Astyanax mexicanus: one gene and its partner. The protein of the gene in region 2 purifies or fractionates together with the protein of the main gene of each other region. This does not show direct contact. Links are inferred from orthologs where the notes say so. Each region holds a gene or a part of one and is shown on either strand. Other genes may lie near its edges.

Region 1 (10,320 bases), about 35 Mb from region 2:
TATTACTTCTAATTTCTTATTAAACGTTCTCAATCCCTTTTGTACTGTAAATGCTCAGCAACATTATAAATAAGGGCTACCCTCAATGTAATCCCGAGTAAAAAAAAAACTAAAATACACCTGTGTTCATTTATAACTCCGCCCCCTCGTTACCAGTCCCCAGGTGTTTCCTGTTTCTGTTTTTTCTGTCTACTTCCATGTGTATATTTATAGCCCCTTTGTTTCTGTGTTCTTTTGTTGGTTCTTGTATGTGTTTACGTCTGTTAAGAGGTGCTGATCGTGTGTTTCTTGTTCTAGTTTATTTCTTGTTTTTTAGTATATTCCTGTATGTTAGTTTATTTGCTTTCGTGCTTATTTGGTTTCTGTTTTTGTTATTAAAAATTACTCGCATTTGCATCCACTGACGACATCTACTTACTGTGCAACCCTCACAACACTACAGAATTTTAGGACATTTTTACAGTCACCAGTAAAAAAAAAACTCTGCTTGGAGGCAAAACTATTATTTGTATACCTTTTAAAAAAAGATTGATTGTATTTTAAAAAGTATCTTGTGAAATTACGTATTTTATTCTTTTAAATAATCCAAGATTAAAACACATTATGTCCTACACTATACACAAATACATCAAATTTATTTCTATTACATTATTCTGTCATACTACTTCAGTTCATGTGTAAATCTAAGAATGTCAGTTTCACTCCAGTAAATGAAGAGTGTGATTTGTGAATACTCACTCAGGATTGTGGGCGGGTCCTCTTTTGTCTACCAGTTTAAAGTCCCAGGCTTGACCACTTTTCTGACAGTAGTGGTTCAGTAAACCTTTAAAATTATTATCTAATCCAGAGCTCTCAGAAAGGCTGTGGCTCAGGGATAGACCAGTCAGGGAGTAGCTAAGAGAAAACAAAATAAACAGGATTATTCAGGTTTTCACAGAGTTTAAATCAGTGTTACGTAATTAAACATATGGAACAACTGTAAGATGATTCCTGATTCATGTTTCTTTTTTTCCGCAAAAGTTAATAGTTAATTTAAATAAAAAAATTAAGTTAAAAATTTCAGTTTTTAGGTCCAGGTCTGTACACTGTAATACTGGTGTTTAAAAGTAAAAAATCATTACTTACCCGAGATCTGACATGCTCGGTTGTTGTGTCTCGTTTGTCCTTTCACCGGGAACCTTCAATATAAATTATTGTTAAAATCACAATCATAACTTTGAAGTAGTTTAAAGTTTAAATAAACTAGAAATATTAAGACACACAGTTTCATTAAATACATTTACATGAACACTAAGCATTAACTATTAACACTGTCGAAAAAAATTAAAAAGTGCTATACATAAAAAAAGTAAGTAGCGGTATCAGAATGAGGTGGTCATAATAATCTGGCAATACAGAAATCTAAAATCATCTGAGTTTTAATTACAATGTTTTATTAAACCAAATGTTTGGAGGTGATTACTAACATTCGTTAGCTTGTGGCTAATAAGCACTTAAATCCTCATAGACTGGCTAGCAGAAATTAGCATTACTACAGCGATGGTCAAAATAAGATGAGAATTGACTGAAAGCTGAGTGTTTTATTTTTGACTTGATGGATTTTTTCTGGTTATTTAGAGTTACGACTATTACATGTTCTGCTTCTCATATTTCACACTCATATGACCATTAAATATTTGGCAGGTCATACAGGGATTGTAATTATTGGGACTGGGACAAGGATTGACTGATTTGCCTATTGTGATGTACCTAAATTCTTATTTATTAAGCTACATTAGCCGTGCATATAGCATTTTGAAATGTGATAAAAGTTTTAAAACACAAATGTAATGTATTTTTCTTTTTTTTTTTTACAATTTCAGTTTGTAACACTTTATAACACTTACAAAAACAGTAAGTGACTGACCTCAGCGTTATTCTCCCCATTAATTGCTTTATACACGAGTTTAGCCGCCTCCTCCTTCGCATCCCGCTTTACTCTGCAGACGGCTGTCGGATATTCTTTATCACCACAAACAAACTTACAGGCATACTGTATTCTGAAAAGAAAAATCACATAAATAATATTAAATACCGCCTCATTATAAGTAGGTTTAATTTAATTTGAGGTGTTTAGATACTTGCTGATTGTTGGAGTCCAGCGGCATCGACTCGACGAACTTAAAATTTAATCTCATCTTCTGACCGTATTCATTCAGCCAGCAGGTAAAGTTGGCTTGAGTCAGCTTTGGTAAACCATCGAGTGAGCAGGGACTGGTTACCTGTAGATGTAAATATATATATATATATATATATGCATATATTTATGTATTCATGTTTACATTACATTACATTACATTACATTACATTTAGCAGACGCTTTTGTCCAAAGCGACTTACAATAATCAAGTACAATGTAAAATAAGTTTAAAGGTAAAACATCTTTGGATAGGGATAAAAGGAGGACAAAGGGGAATAATAGGATAGAGGAGTGAAGGAGGGGAAGAAGGAAATGAGGTTAGAAGTAGTTAGTGTGTTAGAGGTGTTAGGAGAGTAAGTGCTCTTTGAAGAGCTCTGTCTTCAGGAGTTTATTAAAGATAGCGAGAGATTCTCCTGATCTGGTAGTGGAGGGTAGTTTGTTCCACCATTGTCTTTTTCAGGTGCAGATTTTCTCAACTAACCACCACTTTTGCTGTACTAGCTGGCTCCTCCTCCTGTATGAGACTGAGGGCATTCTTAGCAGCATTTTGCCTAGCTTCTTTCTTGTTGCGTCCGACGCCTTCAGGATAGGGTTTATTATTCACCACCGCCCTCACGGTGAATCTGAAAATTACATTAAAAAAATATATATATATTACTGTTTTAAAGGTTAAACATTTTAAAGCATTATACTTAAAGTTTATTTTCTATAGGGTGATCCAAACAGGTTCAACAGTAGCAGGGATATTAAAAAATACCAATAATAATAATAAAAAAAACGAATTTAATCATAAATATTACAAACATAGATGAGGAGTTTTATGGATTTTTGTTGTTGTTTAGTACGTATGTCAAATGCATTTCTTTAGAATGTAAAAACTGTAAAATTGTACAAATTAAAAAAAAAATCCTATGCCTTGATAGTGATAAAATGTCTCCATATAATCGCATTTTGACAAAGATTTAAATTATTTAAAAGATTTAAATTAAAATGAAATCAAAATCAAATCAGATTTATTGTCACATCACAAAAGTACAGATGTACAGGTGAGTGAAAAACTTGGGTGCAAGTTCCACTGATATGCAGAGACCTATATTTACAACATAGAGTAGAATAAGTAAAATAAAATAGAAAATACACATAGCAACATTACCGATTAATACAAAAATAGTTATTGTAACAAAATAATAAATTATAAAAATACTGCCACATCATAGAATTGAGGACTGGGACTTAAAAATATTACTATCTATAGAACTGCACCAACAATTAAAATATACAAATATGTAGTTTACAAATACAAAGTAGCAGATAAAACCATAAATATATCCTGTAGTTGTTCAATGTGAAGGGAAATCTAATGTCAATTTCTACAGAGAGTAAAAACAGCTGCTTCATCCGGGCTACAGTTCACCTGTACAGGTGTACAATAAGCTACAGTTAAGTTCAGGAATCAGGTGGACTCACATTTTGCTGTGATCTGGACCCTTAGTGTCCACATCCTCAAACCTGTAGGTCAGGCCAGTCTTCTGAGTGCGCTCATTCAGCAAAGCAATGTAATTACTGCTAGATGCCATTAATAAATCAATCAAAATAATCAATATAATCAATAAAATCAATAAAATCCAAACAGTCCAATCAGCAGCACAGAGTGAAAAAACACCAGAGATCAGTTAGTTTAAAGGAAACATAAATACTTTTTAATAAAATAATAAAACGCTGTAAAAAAGCTCCTGTGATCAGAGCTGAGCTCCGGCTGTCGCTCCTGATCTACAGAAACCTGCATAAGTTTCGTTTCTGATCAAAAACCTTCCCCTGCACGAGCCCGACTTCACACAGCCGACCAATAGAATCCGCCCGACGCGGGTCGCGTGTTACAGAGGGCGGAACTAGAGGAACACAGCAGCGGTTTCCAGCCGAGCCCCACGATGCAACGTTTTTTTTTTTTTCAAAATAAAAGTCCGATCTCGCCACTAATAACAGCGAGTGCAGCTCAAAAAATTAGAAATATGCTTGAAAAGTTACGTTATTTCAGTAATTCAGTTTAAAATGTGAAACTCATATATTACATGGATGTATTACACACAGAGTGATCTATTTTAAGCGTTAATAATCTTGTATTATATAACAATTATTGTTGATGATTATAGCTTACAGCCAATGAAAACCCAAAAATCAGTGTCTCAGAAAATTAGAATATTATATTAGACCAATTGGTACTTTTGGAGCAGTGTGGGCAATGTGCCAAGTCCTGCTGGAAAAAGAAATCCACATTTCCTGTAAAGTTGTCAGCAGAGGGGAACATTGTGTTGTAAGATTTTGCAGGAAATTAAAACTGCACTGATTTTAGACTTGATGAAACACAGTGGACCAACACCAGCAGATAACATGGATCTCTATTTCAGCAAACAATATACAACCTTTACTATACACAATAAATATACACAATAAACATGCTTCAAAATGTATAGTAACGTCAACTGAAAAATAAACATTTCCTCCCAAATTCTTACATTATTCCATCAGAATGTGATTTTTCACCTTTCAACAAACCAGACACACAATCAAAATATTTTTTAGAATTTATTACAAATAAATATTATTTGAATATCAAGACAAAGACAAAATTCTTCAGAACAAATTGAAAGAAGATAATGAAAACTAAAATTATACGACAGATGTGCCAGACGAAGCCTGTTGATTTAATCATTATGGTCTGCTGCCGTATCTCCAGGACAATTTGAGCTTAAATCCTCTTCATCTATAAAGCAAGAAACAATGTCTGATCATTATTTTAAAAAGCGATCAAACATTTATTATGATACAATCTTGTTTTTTTAGAAAAGATAAAATAAAAAAATGAACAAAAATGATTTTTTTATTTTTTGTGTACCATTGTATGCCGTTCCACACCATATGCAGTAGAAATGCACGTCCCGCAGGTACGAGGTGATATACTGCAGCTTCTCCAACGACTGAAACCATAAAGAAACAACACTGTTATCATATGTAAGCTGAATATTAATCATATTTATACTTCTTAAGTCAGCATGTTTATTTTTTTTTACCGTCATCTCCTCTTCATCACTCTCCTCATCACTGGACTCTTCAGGATGCTCTGCCTCCTCAGTGATCACTTCAGGCCAATACCAGACATCCTTCGGTGCGACTTTACCCTAAAACAGAAAAACAGGCATCACTGAGGCTGCGTGTGAACAGAATAAAATCGTTTTTTGTTTGTTTTTATTCTGATTTGGGCCACTTTCATATGTGGTTCTAAAATCAGACATGTGTCGTATTAGGGGCAATGCAACAATTTGTAATTCATACGATAAGTATTGGAAATGGACAACAGCAGTGAGGGAGGGTTTCAGTTGTGGGTGGGGTAGTGAAATAAATTATAAAGCTTGGGCTGCAACCACTTAGTGTTTCTATTAAAACAACTGAATCTGGACACTGGAGGCTGCGGCTACAGCGTCAAAGGTCAAAATCTTACTCACACATATAAAGAAGCTGATCAGATCTGATCATCAGATTATTAATTTTTTTTAACCTGCTGGGTGTCGAGTTGTTGACAGGCCCGCTGGCTCCGCCTCAGATCCGCCTCTGCCTGCTGCTTCTCTTTCTCCGACCTCTTACGATCTCTGTGTTGTAAACAGGTCTAGATTTAGTTATTTAAACACAAACACAAACTAGGGGTTGCACAACTAAAACAGTATTTTTTTTGTCTTGTAGAACTAAAAACAGTATTTTTTTTGTCAAAATGCACTCTAGAGGTTGCAATTTTTAGTTTTTAGTTTTTTTTTTAGTGTCGTCTAATGCTAATATAATCAATCAGCTATAGACGCCTCTACATTACTCTTGCAAATATTTACAATAAGAGTATATTAACAACAAAATGTTTCAACTAATTATTACCACACACTAGTTAAGATATTAATAATAGTTATTATGAATTACCTATTTAACTAATGTCTCAATTCATTATTATTTATAACATTTAAAATGTAAATAATGAAGTAAAAAACACAGCACCTTACTGTACACACAATATACTGAAACATAAATAACATGGTTAAAAACAGATCTAACTTATGCTGAACACTCCTGACCACATGCACCTCCCAAATACCGGTGCTCACCTGAAATCCTCCAGGTTTCGTTTCTCCATCTGTTTTCTGATCTGGACTTTTTTGCGGTGATGTTCCAGTTCCTCCGCAGCCTTCCGCTTCTTCAGCTCCTCCAATCCGATCCCACCTCTGTCTAATAAACACAAACATCAGGACCTTCCAGTCTAGAACATTTTAGATCAGACCCGTAACTCAGACACACCTCCTACCTGTTTTAATGTTGAGTGGAATCGGATCAACTCGCCCAGAACCTGCAACATAATAACATCTATTAATAATAATTAACTATTAGAGCACGGATGAACTGACCAACCAAAACACAGTTAACAACCATGTAAAATACATCTGCAAACACAATATTCTGCCTATAGATGGGGCTGATCAACCAGTAATTATTATGAATCTCTGTAAAGAGAGAAAATTGAACCTAATGTGTGCTGCCTACTGTTAAAGGCCTAAGCTTTATAGGGTGTAAGTCTTCATCAAATAAATACAATTGTAAAAAATAAAAATAAATAAATAAAATAAAATAAAATGTGGGTACACACGAGCTGTCATTGCAAATGATCAGTCACATGACTCCTCAACTGACCACTTTTAGATTAGATTCAGGGAAGCAATTCAAAGTTTTTGGACAATGTTAATACAAAATTAATGTCAATGTTTCTGATAAAAAAAAAATATGGATATGTTCATGAAGCTTAGTTATGAAAAATGCAATTTGGTCTTATATATATCTATATTTTATTTCACTCACACTTTTATAATCTGTCTAAAGGAAATATGCTTCAGTCTGATGTAGCATTGCCGAGTAGCATCACAGCGCTAACGTTTGGAGGAAAGCGCTGCGACTCGGTTCTGATACATCAGCTCACAGATGCAGTCTTGTGCTGATCCACATCACCCTAGGAGTGATGAGGAGAAAGAGCGCCATCTACTGTACCCACCCAGAGAGAGCAAGGCCAATTGTGCTCTCTCGGGGCTCCGGCAGCTGATGACAAGCTACATGACCGGGATTTAAACCAGCCATCTCCTGATAATAATGGCAGTGCTTTAGACTACTGGACCACTCTGAGCCCATCGATCTCCTTAATGTGACTGTGAATGTGATGTCAGATGTTTTTGCGTTGCTGACCCTCTCTCCCAAGTCCCTGTCCGGCCTTATAGCCCATCTTCTGTAACAGAGCAAAGCCCTTGTTCTCGGTGCTGATGGAGCTCTGCAGCGCCTCCTGCCGCTGCTCCAGCTCCTGCTGTTTGATGCTTTTCTGTCGATTCTCTACACATTTTTCTTTATGGAGATCCTCTCTCTTCCGAGCCGCCTTCTCCCGTTTCACCATCGGCACGCCGGGCCTGACGTCCAGCCTGGCTCACAAATCAGAACCATGTTACATCATTAGAATATATCTGCTTTAATTACATCATCAGAATATAACTCTGCTATAATTACATCATTGCAACATAGATCTGATTTAATTACATCATTACAATATATGTGCTATAATTACATCATCACAATACAGATCTCCCTTAATTACATCAATTACATCACAATATATCTGCTATCTGCAGCAGACAGTAATAAGTCTGTGCACAGTAATACCACATATTCATAACTGCATTTTTATGCAGTGTATAAATCCTGTATTTGAACTAAAGTAAAGATAGGGAAGGTAAAATATTACTGCAGTAAAAGGAAAAATTCTACATTGAGACAAAAGTATTTTGATGTCTGTTAAAATGATCATAAACATTAAGAAAAAAACTATTTCCATTAAATAGAATCAACTGGCTAAAAGTAACTTTGTTAGGTACGATATAATAAAATATATAATATAATATAATATAATAAATATATAATAAATATAATATAATAAAGTACGATATAATAAAATCACGCTGTACACGCTAATGAGTTATCTTTTCGTATCATGCATAATACAAAATATGTTCAACATTTTGCATTATACAGTTTAATATAGTTAAATATTAGAGTTATTACTGAGGGTGCTAATGTTTACTGTTAGCCTGTTAGCTTCTCACTAATCCTGATCTGAGCGTACTAGTCCTAAATTACTATTTGGCAGGGATTAAAACGCGGATTAACTGCAGATTATTCTCAACACTTACTGTGGGTTCAGAAAAGCATCAGACATATAATCCTCTTCATCTGAAGACATTTTTTTATTAACAAATACAGCAGCTTGTGGAACAGCAGTGAAGCAAGCGAAGACTACAGACTGACTCAGAGCAACATTTCAAAATAAAAGACCATGACCGTAACAGAGTAGCAAAGTATAGCAAAGTAACAGCTTATTTTTTACTAATTTGCTGTAATTTAGAACACTTTTAAATAATGTTTTTACTGTTTTTGGTTTGGTTTTATGAAATAGAAAAGGTCAATATGAAATATAAAATATTACACACAGTCTTCCAGTGGAATTATAAATTTAATATAAATATATATATCTTGTTTGTGCGTTACAGACGCACTAGAGATCATTTTTAATCACTAGAGATAATTCAGGTCTGAAATGTTTAAGAGTTTGCAAGATCTAGCAATAGAAAATTTCTTCTGGGAGAATGAGTGCATACCTTTTTATCATTTATCATGAGTGGTTTTCTGGGTTCTATTGGGTTCAGCTGCATTTATAATTTATCTGTGGGTTAGTATGGGTTTGGAATGGTACGAAACAGTGTATAATTTATTGAGTATATTTTGTATAGTTTTAACGAGTAACAGTGCAACACATACTAATACTCCAGTAGAGTAAATATACAGCATTTTAGTACTTATTTACAGTAGTGAATTAGTTCATTTTAATTTAACTGTGATCCTCCTACATGGGTCAAGACTGCATTAAAACGCTCCTACAATGTTTCTAAAGCCAAAAAGAAGTGATTCTTTATGGGCTTTGCAGTATATTTGTTTTTTACTCAATTTTCACCTCAGTTTAGCTGAAACAATTAACCCACCCACTCACTAGGATTTCACCAACACTACAGTGCTCAGACACTAGGGGGTCACACATGTGAAATTAGACTCCGCCCCTTTTCCAGCTGCCACCAATACAGCATCACTAGGCAGCTGACACTCAGAGGAAAGTGCCGAATTGCCAGCTCAGATACCATCAGCCTACAGGCATAGCATCACAATGGGAGCAGTGATGGGAGATTGTTTTCTCTTGGACTCTGGCTACTGATGGTGAAGTAGCATGACCTACTGCACTCTCTCTCTCTCTGAATCTGGCTGCTGATGGTGAATTACAAATAACGTTTTCTAGCCATTTTGTGGAAACGTAATGAATTCAATAATCTCTGCAAATTAATACAACATAAAAATTAACCTAGTGGCACATTTCTGCAACATTCAGCACTCAGAACTTAAAACATTGTATAAAAGGGTTTTACTCGTTTCTCACATTCAGTAGTAATGATCACCCTGAGCTGCTGTGAGTGTTTGGAAAGGTTTATTAAAGTACATTTCGGGCCTGTGAGGTAAAGTTCATGTCTTGGCTGGAGACTCAGTGGGGAAGCTCATGATGGACCAGTTTATAGTGTGCTCCACAGGAAGGACAGCGCTGAGAGTTTCCCTCATGGAGCCAAAACCAGACGATAGCAGTGTTATCCTCCTCACCTGCAAAAACAACAATAAAAATAAATGTTTACTCCAGCCTGGTAGTAAACTCCTACCTGTTTAAATACTAATTTTAACTATAAATAAGAAATTACACCTGTTTTTATTAAACATCTTTGGTTCTAAATGTGTCATATTTGTGGTGCTGTTTAGTATTTATGTGATGCTGTTTGGTGTTTTTCTGTTGTTGTTAAGTGTTTATGTGGTGCTGTTTAGTGTTTATGTGATGCTGTTTAGTGTTTTTCTGGTGTTGTTAAGTGTTTATGTGGTATTGTTTAGTGTTTATGTGGTGTCGTTTAGTGTTTATGTGCTGTTTCGTGTTTTTGTGGTGTTGTTTAACCCTTTCATGCATAGAGGTCACTACAGTGTACAGCTGT
Region 2 (10,283 bases):
TCAGTCAAATGGTAACATCTATAATCCTGAAGTAAACATATATATATATATATATATATATACATATGAGATGGATTATATGACGGACATACATGGCAGCTCTTTGTCCTTGGAAAAGGCGGCTGTAGTCCTCTTTAAGGCCACAGATGTAACTCACTGCCTCGCCCCAAACCTTTTTAAGGGCACTCAAGGGAAGCTGAGTCTTGGTCTCACGTACTACAGAAGAAGATGAATACAGACCATGTCATTTTTAAAATTAATTAAAATTATTATAATTATTATAATAATACACAGCAACTGTATCATTTACCAATAAAGTTTACGCTCTCCGGGAGTGCCCTTGGAGTGAAGGGTCCAGAGTACTTGGTTAGGCTCTTGTCAAAGAGATACACGATATAGCTGTCCCATCCTCTCTGGTTAATAAAAATGAACAATACAAAAAGTGCAGCATATCAGTTATAGAAGTCCAATTTATGTTTGAAGAAAGTTTAGATCATTCAGTAATTTTATAATCCACTTACAACTCCATCCAGGACACACTGTGCTGCAGGCTTCCTTGGATCTAGCATTACTCCCGTCTCCTGCAGGAGCTCCTGATTCAGGTGTTCGATTTTTGTCGTCGTCTCAATTCTCTGCTGAAGGGAGTGGAGGCCCTCCTCAGGGTTTAGCAGGAAAGAGTGAACCTCTGTTGTGGTCATGTTCAAGATGTGTACAACCTAAAACAACGGAACGTGCATCAGACATTAAGGCCCTCTGCTGGAGATCCTTCATAAAGCATTCTTCATCAGAGGCGGTGACTTTAAAAAGACCAACCTTCATGTTCAATATTTGCTCAAGAAGTGCAAAGCATTGTGGCTGTTTAGTGTCAGGGTTCATTGCACCTCCCCTTTGCACTGGGTCCCACTTCAGCATCAACTGCAGCAAACTCTCCAAAGGCTCCAAAAGAGTCCTAGAGAATGAAAAATCATTGAACATTTATTCTTTCTTAGATATGCTGAAACTCCTGGTCACTTAATGCAGATGAAAGACGTTTACCGTTTAGTGCAAAAAAACACACACTTTATTACCTGCTGAGATTATTGGGATAAGGGAGATGAGTGCTGAATCGGACTTCTCCATTCATATCCTCTACAGCCATGATGTCTTTTGGGCCTTTGTTACGCACTTTGCTTGTCCTACAAAACAAAATATTGTGCGTGTGAAATCATGTCTTATTGTATATGTTGAATACCATCCATTCTCTGTGATTTGCTTGTTTAACTATAATATTGGCAATGGCTATTATTAAAAGCCATTTAAACAGTATAGAGTTATTAATTTGGACATGATTTGAATCTCAGAACTTGTTAAGAGTGTGGCATAAAACTATACTAACTATATAACAAAAATAATTTATAAACATCTATGAATAGAGAATTACTATAATATAAGAGACCAGGCACATACCACTGCACAGGTTGTAGATTGTGTAGAAAAGGACGAAAACCACAGCTGCACTCAAAGATCATTGTGCCAAAGCTCCAGTAGTCAACTGTGACTGTATACGGCTTGCTTTCAAACAGCTCTGGTGCCTTAAATAATACAATAAATTAAAACAATTTAATAAAGTTGCCAAATTGCAATTTATTTTAGCGCTAGCACTCAAAATGTTATCAATACATATATAGTTCAGGTACAAAACATAAATTGCAAAAACACAAGAACTACCATTAAAACTTTGTAAATGTTTGTTACTGTTTAAGCAAGCAACACAGAAATTTAGTTTCTAACAATTTTCATTTCACAATAATTAGTCACAAGACTCACCAAATACTGAAGAGTTCCCACAAAAGATGTGCAAAGGCTACCTTGATCCAAATCTTTTGCATAGCCCAGATCTATAATCTTGTGTACTAACTAAAACAAGACAAACAAATTATACAAGTTAGCAAACTACTCATTTCAAACTGTAGTTTTTTTCACATATAAAATATCACATACCTTTCCATTAATCTCTTGAAGCACAATGTTCTCTGGTTTTAAGTCTCTGTGAATGATTTTGTTTGCATGGAGATACTGAATTCCTGAACCTGTTAATATAAAAAAACATTTTCAATAACAGTATTTTTGACACATCTGAGTAGAAATGGAAGCAAATACATAAGGATATTATCATAGAGGTGATACATTACCGACATCATTAAGAAGGGACAGCACCTCACTTTCTTTTAACCCACAGCAATTTTCAGGTTTGCTCAACAACTACAAAAAAAAAAAAAGAATGGTATGAGGAAATAAAGAAGAATGGAAAAAGGAAAGTCTTCTTCAAAGCAGGTGACAATTACATGACATGACAGACAGGGCAATTAAAATAAGCTAATGCTTGAGCACACCTTACGAAGATCTCCTCTGGAACAGTACTCCATGGCTAATAGAGGTAAGTCATTCAAGGCAATGTGTTTCATCTCTTCAGGTACATCCCGTGCTGTCACCACATTGATGTGGTTCAATCTAGAAAGAGTTAACCAAATATTAAACTTTGCATAAGAAATATATTCAATTTAGAAAGCAAATAAGTAATCAAATTCCTTATAAACTTACTTTTTCATGATCTGAATCTCTCGACTCCATCTGTCTTTGTTTTTTGCGTTGAGCTCAAGCCGGCAGAGTTTCACTGCAATTTTCTCAGCGGTTTCCTACATGAAATAAATATCATTAACTCAACAACATAAACATAATGTAGCTACATTATAGATGATTCAGACATTCCCTTCAAAATATTCTAATCACCCACTACTTCCAAAGCTCTTCACTTGGTCTATTAGGTAGGTACTTGGTGCAGACTTTCCCCACCTACAACCCTAAGCGGCCAAAAAACAAATTTGCTTTACCTGATGTTGGTAAAGATACACATGACCAAATCCTCCGGTTCCTAGCCTCTCCTTCATAGCCCAGGGTCCACATACTTGAGTCTGTTTGAAAGGTGGTTTGTCCATCTAAAGGGAAAAACACTTGTTACTTAGGCCTGTCATAATAATTGCATTATCTAATTGCACAATATGTAGACATGCATATGAACATAACCTCAATATGTTTACGGAATATAGCATGTATAATTGTTGAGCCTAAATGTATGTTATATAAACACTATGTATGTTCCTGTTCTAATCAATAGTACTGATAATTAAAACGTCATTGCCATTCAAAGGGTGGTAATGCATTATATGTGACAGAGTAATATTGTGCCTTTTATTTGCTGTGAAGCCTAAAGATTATTTTTTAGATTTATATGCTTGCACTTAAAATGATTCAGTACAAAAAAAGTCAAGTTAGGCAAGTTAGCTAAGCTACTGTTTACTAAATAGACAAAATAAGTTTACAGATTTGTTTTGTTTCTGCTATATGCTTAAAGATAATAACTACACTTTCATGAAATAAAACTTAAAGGATTCCAATATTTTGTTGCAGAAGTGATTTCTTGCAATATTATTTAACAAAATATTACTGTTTTTCATCATGCCAAGAATATCACTACCGGAAAAATACCCTAAAACGTCGCAATATTATTTTCCGGCATGTTTCACTTCAATTTCTGAATCAGTTTATCTGATTTTGCTATTTATAGGTATATTTGAGTAAAATGTAAACATTTAATTTCTGTTTTAAACTACGGACAACATTTCTTCCAAATTCCAAATAAAAATGTCATTTAGAGCATTTATTTGCAGAAAATGAGAAATGGCTGAAATAACAAAAATATGCAGAGCTTTCAGACCTACAAAAATGCAAAGAAAACAAGTTCATATTAATAAAGTTTTAAGAGTTTAGAAATCAATATTTGGTGGAATAACCCTAGTTTTTAATCACAGTTTTCATGCATCTTGGCATGTTCTCCTCCACCAGTCTTACACACTGCTTTTGGATAACTTTATGCCATTCCTGGTGCAAAAATTCAAGCAGTTCAGCTTGGTTTAATGGCTTGTGATCATTCATCTTCCTCTTGATTATATTCCAGAGGTTTTCAATTTGGTGAAATTAAAGAAACTCCTCATTTTTAAGTTGTCTGTTGTTTTTTCGAGAGCTGTATGTAGTTAGTATCTAGTTAGCTAAGTTACCTAGTGTTAGTGATTTAACCTAGGTTACCTCGCTAGTTAGCTAACTAACAGCCTGAGCGACAGCTCAACACACTTGTATGTTTTGTATTTAGTCAAGTGCTATAAACAGCGAATTAATAAATTAACTGGTTAACTTGTGGAGTAATATTTATTTCACTTAGCTAATTAGTTAGTTAACGCTAAGCCTGACACTTCATTATCACTTATAGCTAACCAACAAGCGCTAACGTTAGCTAGCTAACTAGCTTAGCTAGCCAAGTTATCTTACCGCTGCCCGGTCTGGTCTGATTCACCAATCTGTGTGGCTAGCTTGAAAGTAGCCTGTAATTTGTGATGTGAAGATAATGTGCCAGATGTGAAGATAATGGAATATGTCAGTTCGTAGAGAATAACGGCGACATCCATGTCATCCTTGCGAAGCCCCGTTAAAACGCAACGTTACTGCTATTAACGTTACTTGGTAAACAGCGAGCCAGCTAGCCGCGTTAGCGTTAGCCAGCTACACGTAAACAACTTGGGGTAATGCAGCAGTCAATTAGGTAACCGCAGCTAGCAGCGGAGCTAGCTCAGAAAAGTCAGCCTCACACCAGCACTTCTCCCTGAAACACCAAAACCGGCCCAGATAACAGCCGCTAAACAGCACTACGCTACAACACAAAGCTTAAAATCGAGATTTCTTCAACGACTAAAGGAACAAACGCTGTAGACCAGCGCCTCACATACAGCTAACAAACTGGCTAGCGCTAGCACTCGAAATCGAAACAAGCTTAGTGCGCAGGCGCGCTGCAGACTACCGAGTTGCCGTTTGAGCTGATCAGAGATCAGTCTCCTAACGCAAATCCCGCTCTTTACACATCGCCCATTGCTAACAGAACCGATATCAGGTCAGCAGTACAACCTGATCTATCCACAACAAGCCACGCCCAATCAGGGCACGCTCTGCTCATTAGACACGCCCACATCGACACACCCACTAAATAGACCCGCCCACTTCAAGGCGCCCACTTAAACTCTTCTATGTCTCCGTATTTATTATCCGTATAATAATAATAATAAAACTTCAAAATAACAATTTCTGCATAATAGGTCCAGTTACAGTAGCATCAGCTAAATTCTTAAGCCGTATTCTTATGTCATAGTAGATAATATATGGCTGTCATATATTTTAGGAATTATGATAACTTTGTGTTATCAGAAATAGTTGTTACATAAAAGTGATTCCTGTCATCCCATTCAAAGTGCACTAAAAAGCCACATTTGGTTGCGGTTGGTTTAGTAACAGCATACACCTGCTTTAACTCATTAAGGAACAATGAGAAAAAATACAGTATAGCACACATGACGTGACACTGAATTTGTGATAACAGTTGCATATACAGTACTTTTATTAAAGTAATGATGGCAGTCACAAAGAAAAGGGGGGTTATATTGTACTTACCGTTGTTGTCTGATCAAGGGCTTTTCAGTTCGTATCCTAGATCATTTAATTCAATTCAATTCAATTCAATTTTACACAATTGGAATTGCTCTTGAGGGTTGGTAGGTGGCACTCTTTCACCACGTCACTTCAGTTGTAATTTTCATCAGCACAGACAGCTGTTGGCAGATGTATTAGATCTGGGGAGCTGCTGGTTACCCAGTAATGCTCCATCAATGAAGTCCAGACAGAGGCTGTGTCTGACTTTACATGTGTCAGAGGAGGCATGTGATAGTCTTCACTCTCCTAGTGCTGGGGGCATTGCTTGTGATAGGGGAGTTTACATGAACATGGATTGTGTAATTGGCCTTCCAAATTGGGAATAAAATATATTTCACTAAACTCTTTAGTAAGATCTGTACTACTATTACTAGTTTTTATATAAACAGCCAAAATCACCAATTACAAACAATGGCCTCTTTGGACCATCTTGTAACTTCTTAAGAACCTGCTTCATCCATAAATAGATCACAGCACAGCACTTGAAACTGTGGTAGTGGGTAAGATTTTAGTTTGCTTTTTTGAATCTATAAATACTGTATACAATGGTGTAAAATATTTGTTGCCCCCTCATGATATTTTTTGGCATGTTTGTCACTCTTAAATGTTTCAGATCATTAAACAAATTGAAATATTATTCAAAGACAACACAAGTAAACAGAAAATGCAGTTTTTAAATTAAAGGTTTTTATTATTAATAAGGGAGAATAAAATCCAAACCTACATGTGAAAAAGTATCTAAGTTTTGAGTTCATATGTACATAGTATGAGAAATGTAATTTGAGAGCCTGCTATTTTTTGTTAGGTTTTGTAAGTGTGTAACTTTACAAATTCAAACTACAGTGATATTTAGTTTTAACTTCATCAGATCATTCCGCTGCACCAAAATCATCAGGCTGATGCTTTGTTACAAAACTGCAGTTAAGGTTTCTTAATAATAATAATAAACTCGGTATGTACTTTTAAGCACAAGCTTGTATTGCCAAACATTTCCTGTAAGCAGCATCTTAACACCCAGAGTGTGTATATTTGGCCTTCTAGTAAACAAGAGGTGAATAAGTCAAAAGGAAACCACCCTTTTATCTGTCTTCCAGGAATATATTCTATTCAGGGCTTTTTATATATATATATATTGCATGCTGATATATTTATGTATAAGATATGTTAATCTGCAAAGAATGGCTATTATAAAGAGTGGCCATTAAACCCTTTATATTTCTGATGCTAACAGAGATTGTATTAATGAGGTGACCGGCCACTGGTAGATTTCTCGTAATGCTTATCGTGGTATCTGTTGATGGATGAAGCCCTACCCTTCAACAAAAAGAGCTAATCAGCTTGCTGATCAAAGGAGGGCCAGTGTTTTAATGGGAAAGTTCTCCTCAATGTGGAGATCTGTGCAAGCGCAGTAGCTGGAACAAGCCGAAAAATCACTTTTTTCAATGTACATGTTTTGACATCAGCTTTTCAAAACAATGCTGATCTCTGGCCAGCTGTTCAGATGAGCATATTTGTTGCGGTGCGGAGGCAATAACACATTATACAGCTGCTCCTCAAAACTTTCTATCCTGTCTAACCTGTATGAACAAAACACCAAACGAACAAACGAATGCAGGATACATGAGGCAGACATCAAGCATATGCAACATTAATATTAACAGTAACAGTAACATTACCATTAACAGTAATATTAGGTGTAAGGCTAACAACTAATTAAGTCACTATGGCCATTTTATACAAATAACAACAGATTACAGAGTAGACAGAGTGTCTGAACAATTAACAAGCCGAATGCTACAACTCAGCTAATGCATGTAATGAATAGTACAGTCCTGCAAATGGTCTGTTTTAGCCAATGCAGTCAATCATTTCAGTCCTTAGCATAAACTTGTCTGAGCTAAATAAGGTAAAAAAAAATAATTTCTGGAAGAAAATGATAGAAAATGAGTCAATTTTAGCACAATGAACAGAACTAAATCGTTTTTTCTATATACATTCATCGGCACTCATGAAAAACATTTTGTTCTTAAAATATTTTTTCATTGTCCAGAGAAATATTTCAAGTGTGAGAAAATTATGTAGCCTCCCTTTTCTCTCTATTCGAATTTCTCTGAAAGTGGTGCAGGTGTGATGTGTTAGACAGGAAAAACGGAATTGCTGTGAATTCGCAGTGTGACAGCCTCCCAATGATTCATGCACACAACAGCTGTGTCACACAGCAGCTGCAGCTCTGTGTGTGTATGTGTGTTATAATTCCCCTTTTTAGATTTTAATAAATACAGTACTTTAACTTGTAGATGGCAGTAGAGGAAAATACAAAACACACTGAATATAAAACTGAAATCAACAAGCAGCCACAAAACAAACTCCATTTCGTAATTCAGTATTTCTAAAAACATTTACATTGCAACATGCAACAGACAAGTGCAGATTAAGAAATGTTGTATTATAGGTAAATGTAGAATGTCTTTTGATACAATTAAAGAGAAAATCAAACTGTTTTTGCTGCTAAGTCCAATCAAAAAGGATGACAAAACTGTCATTATATTATATTGTATGTATTGGGTCGCTTCAGATGACCAAGATTGAGTTTAATAATAAAACAAATCAACATATATAGTATAGTATAGACAACATATCCAAATACAGTATATTATGTGTATAACATATATAGTAAATAGATACTGTGAATACATACATATATTTTGTATTATAGTGCTAACAACTGAAACCCATAAATAAAAAACCTCCAACCGGATCTATGTTAGACATTGTATTGCACATTCCCCCAACCACTGAATTGCACTGTACAGACAGTATTGCGCAGTTTCCTCAGAGTCTGGCTTTTATATCTTTTTTTAACTGAAGTCGGTACAAACCTGCTTTTAGGATGGTTAGGTTTAAACCTGAGTGCTTCTTACCTACATACCTAACTCTGTTCAAGAGAATATGAGCTGAATACACAGTAACATTGTTTATATTACATAACATTACATTACATTATGTTTGGCAGACTCTTTTGTCCAAAGTGACTTGCAATAGTGATGTACATTTAGCAATAGAGGACATAGAAGTCCAGACAGACAGATAGACAGACGGACGGACGGAAGGACGGACGGACGGACGGACGGACGGACGGACGGACGGACGGACGGACGGACGGACGGACAGACAGACAGACAGACAGATAGATAGATAGATAGATAGATAGATAGATAGATAGATAGATAGATAGATAGATAGATAGATAGATAGATAGATACTTTATTGATGCCTGAGGGGAAACTTTGGACATCCAGCAGCAGGTATACATAGTACACAAGTTACAAGAGAAGGATAAGATAAAACAATACATATAAAAAATCAATAAAATATAAAGTATAAAAGAACAGGAAAGCGAATAAGGAAATGAGATTAGAGGTAGTTAGCTTGTTGGGGGTTTTAGGAGAGTAGGTGCTCTTTGAAGAGCTCTGTTTTCAGGAGTTTCTTAAAGATTCTTAAAGCAAGAAATTCTCCTCTTCTGGCATTAAAAGGTAGTTTGTTCTACCATTGGGAAACTATGATTGCTTTGTGTGAATGTATGGCGGTGTGAGAGAACTAGGTGGGTTTAGAAATAAGGAATAAAGCAGAAGGTTGTTACAAAGATTGTTACAAAAGCAGTGATTCTTAACCATCAGTTCTTGGGGCCCACCAGCCAGTTCCACATATTTACACATAAGCAAAGATGTAACCTTTAAATGGGCCCCAAGCCAGGCTTGAGAAACATTAAAGTTTGGATTAAGCATTTAAATCAGCTGGATTTGAAAACACATTTTACAGATATTGAAACCATGGCCTTGAACACACACTCTTACATTAGTGAATCTGGGTAGTGGGAGCACACACACACGGAATGATGGGCAACCACCTCCACAGCCACAGGAGTCAGGTGCTTTGCTTATGGGCACATAGGTGGTGTCAATGGTTAAAGAGCTGGGGTTCGATACCTGGACTTGGCAAGGTGCCACCATTGGGTTTTCATCCCACACTGTCACATGTTAACATATGGGTAGCTCACTCTGCGTTCACACTGGAAACAACAACACAACAGGTGACCATTCATTTCCTATGGCAGGGCGCGATTTGTCGCCGTGACAAACAAGAGGCGACAAGCGATAAATGTTTTTCAACTTTATGCAAATGAATTATGACGCTGTGAATGCTGTGGCAGTCAAACCTGATTGGCTTCTAGCATTTCTTTGGACCAATCACACACAAGGCGGTCCGAGGTCCTCAAGCTTCTGCTCTCTGAACTTTTGGTTCCTTTCGCATTCGCATTCACCCTGTCTTATTAAAATCTATTTATTTTGAACAATTTTTGTGATTTTAATGTAGTTAACAAATATTTCTTTAGGGCCGTTGAAGCAATACAACATTTTGTGCCTTTTTTCTTGTCAGAAGCTGGACCATGATACACACGCGCACTGAGCTTTGACATGTCCAAAAGCAGCAAACGCGGGGCAACACCAGCGATTTGTCGCATTCTAGTGGGAACGCAGGGTTAGACTACTCTCAGTCAAAGTTTTAAATAAATTTAAAGGGTTGATGGACATTCGATACCAAAACTTGCTAATCCATCCCAATTAGTTAGACACTTCAACAATAAAGAGGTGAGGTAGAGATTATTGAAATCAGTGGCAAGTAGAACATTTTTAACAAATATAAAATGCCTG

What was found. The genes of interacting proteins can lie anywhere in the genome.
Region 1: the proteins of chuk (region 2) and eif2ak2 purify together in Homo sapiens (affinity purification with western blotting; 3 studies listed by BioGRID). This does not show direct contact. The link is inferred for Astyanax mexicanus from reciprocal best matches to the Homo sapiens genes CHUK and EIF2AK2.

Annotation. Positions count from the first base shown.
Region 1 is NC_064414.1:2,503,955-2,514,274, forward strand, and holds the start of eif2ak2 (interferon-induced, double-stranded RNA-activated protein kinase), read right to left. Parts: upstream 4,055-10,320; 5' UTR 3,757-4,054; coding exon 3,647-3,756; intron 2,803-3,646; coding exon 2,661-2,802; intron 2,262-2,660; coding exon 2,125-2,261; intron 2,040-2,124; coding exon 1,907-2,039; intron 1,179-1,906; coding exon 1,126-1,178; intron 895-1,125; coding exon 739-894; intron 1-738. Other genes in the region: gpatch11 (G patch domain-containing protein 11), read right to left, coding at 4,882-4,940, 5,073-5,154, 5,248-5,355, 5,733-5,823, 6,322-6,442, 6,519-6,560, 7,445-7,671, 8,437-8,486; cytochrome c oxidase subunit 5B, mitochondrial, read right to left, coding at 9,831-9,943.
Region 2 is NC_064414.1:37,824,551-37,834,833, forward strand, and holds the start of chuk (inhibitor of nuclear factor kappa-B kinase subunit alpha), read right to left. Parts: upstream 4,875-10,283; 5' UTR 4,363-4,874; intron 2,976-4,362; coding exon 2,871-2,975; intron 2,676-2,870; coding exon 2,581-2,675; intron 2,491-2,580; coding exon 2,373-2,490; intron 2,242-2,372; coding exon 2,172-2,241; intron 2,070-2,171; coding exon 1,981-2,069; intron 1,897-1,980; coding exon 1,807-1,896; intron 1,572-1,806; coding exon 1,447-1,571; intron 1,176-1,446; coding exon 1,068-1,175; intron 950-1,067; coding exon 814-949; intron 717-813; coding exon 522-716; intron 414-521; coding exon 311-413; intron 217-310; coding exon 93-216; intron 1-92.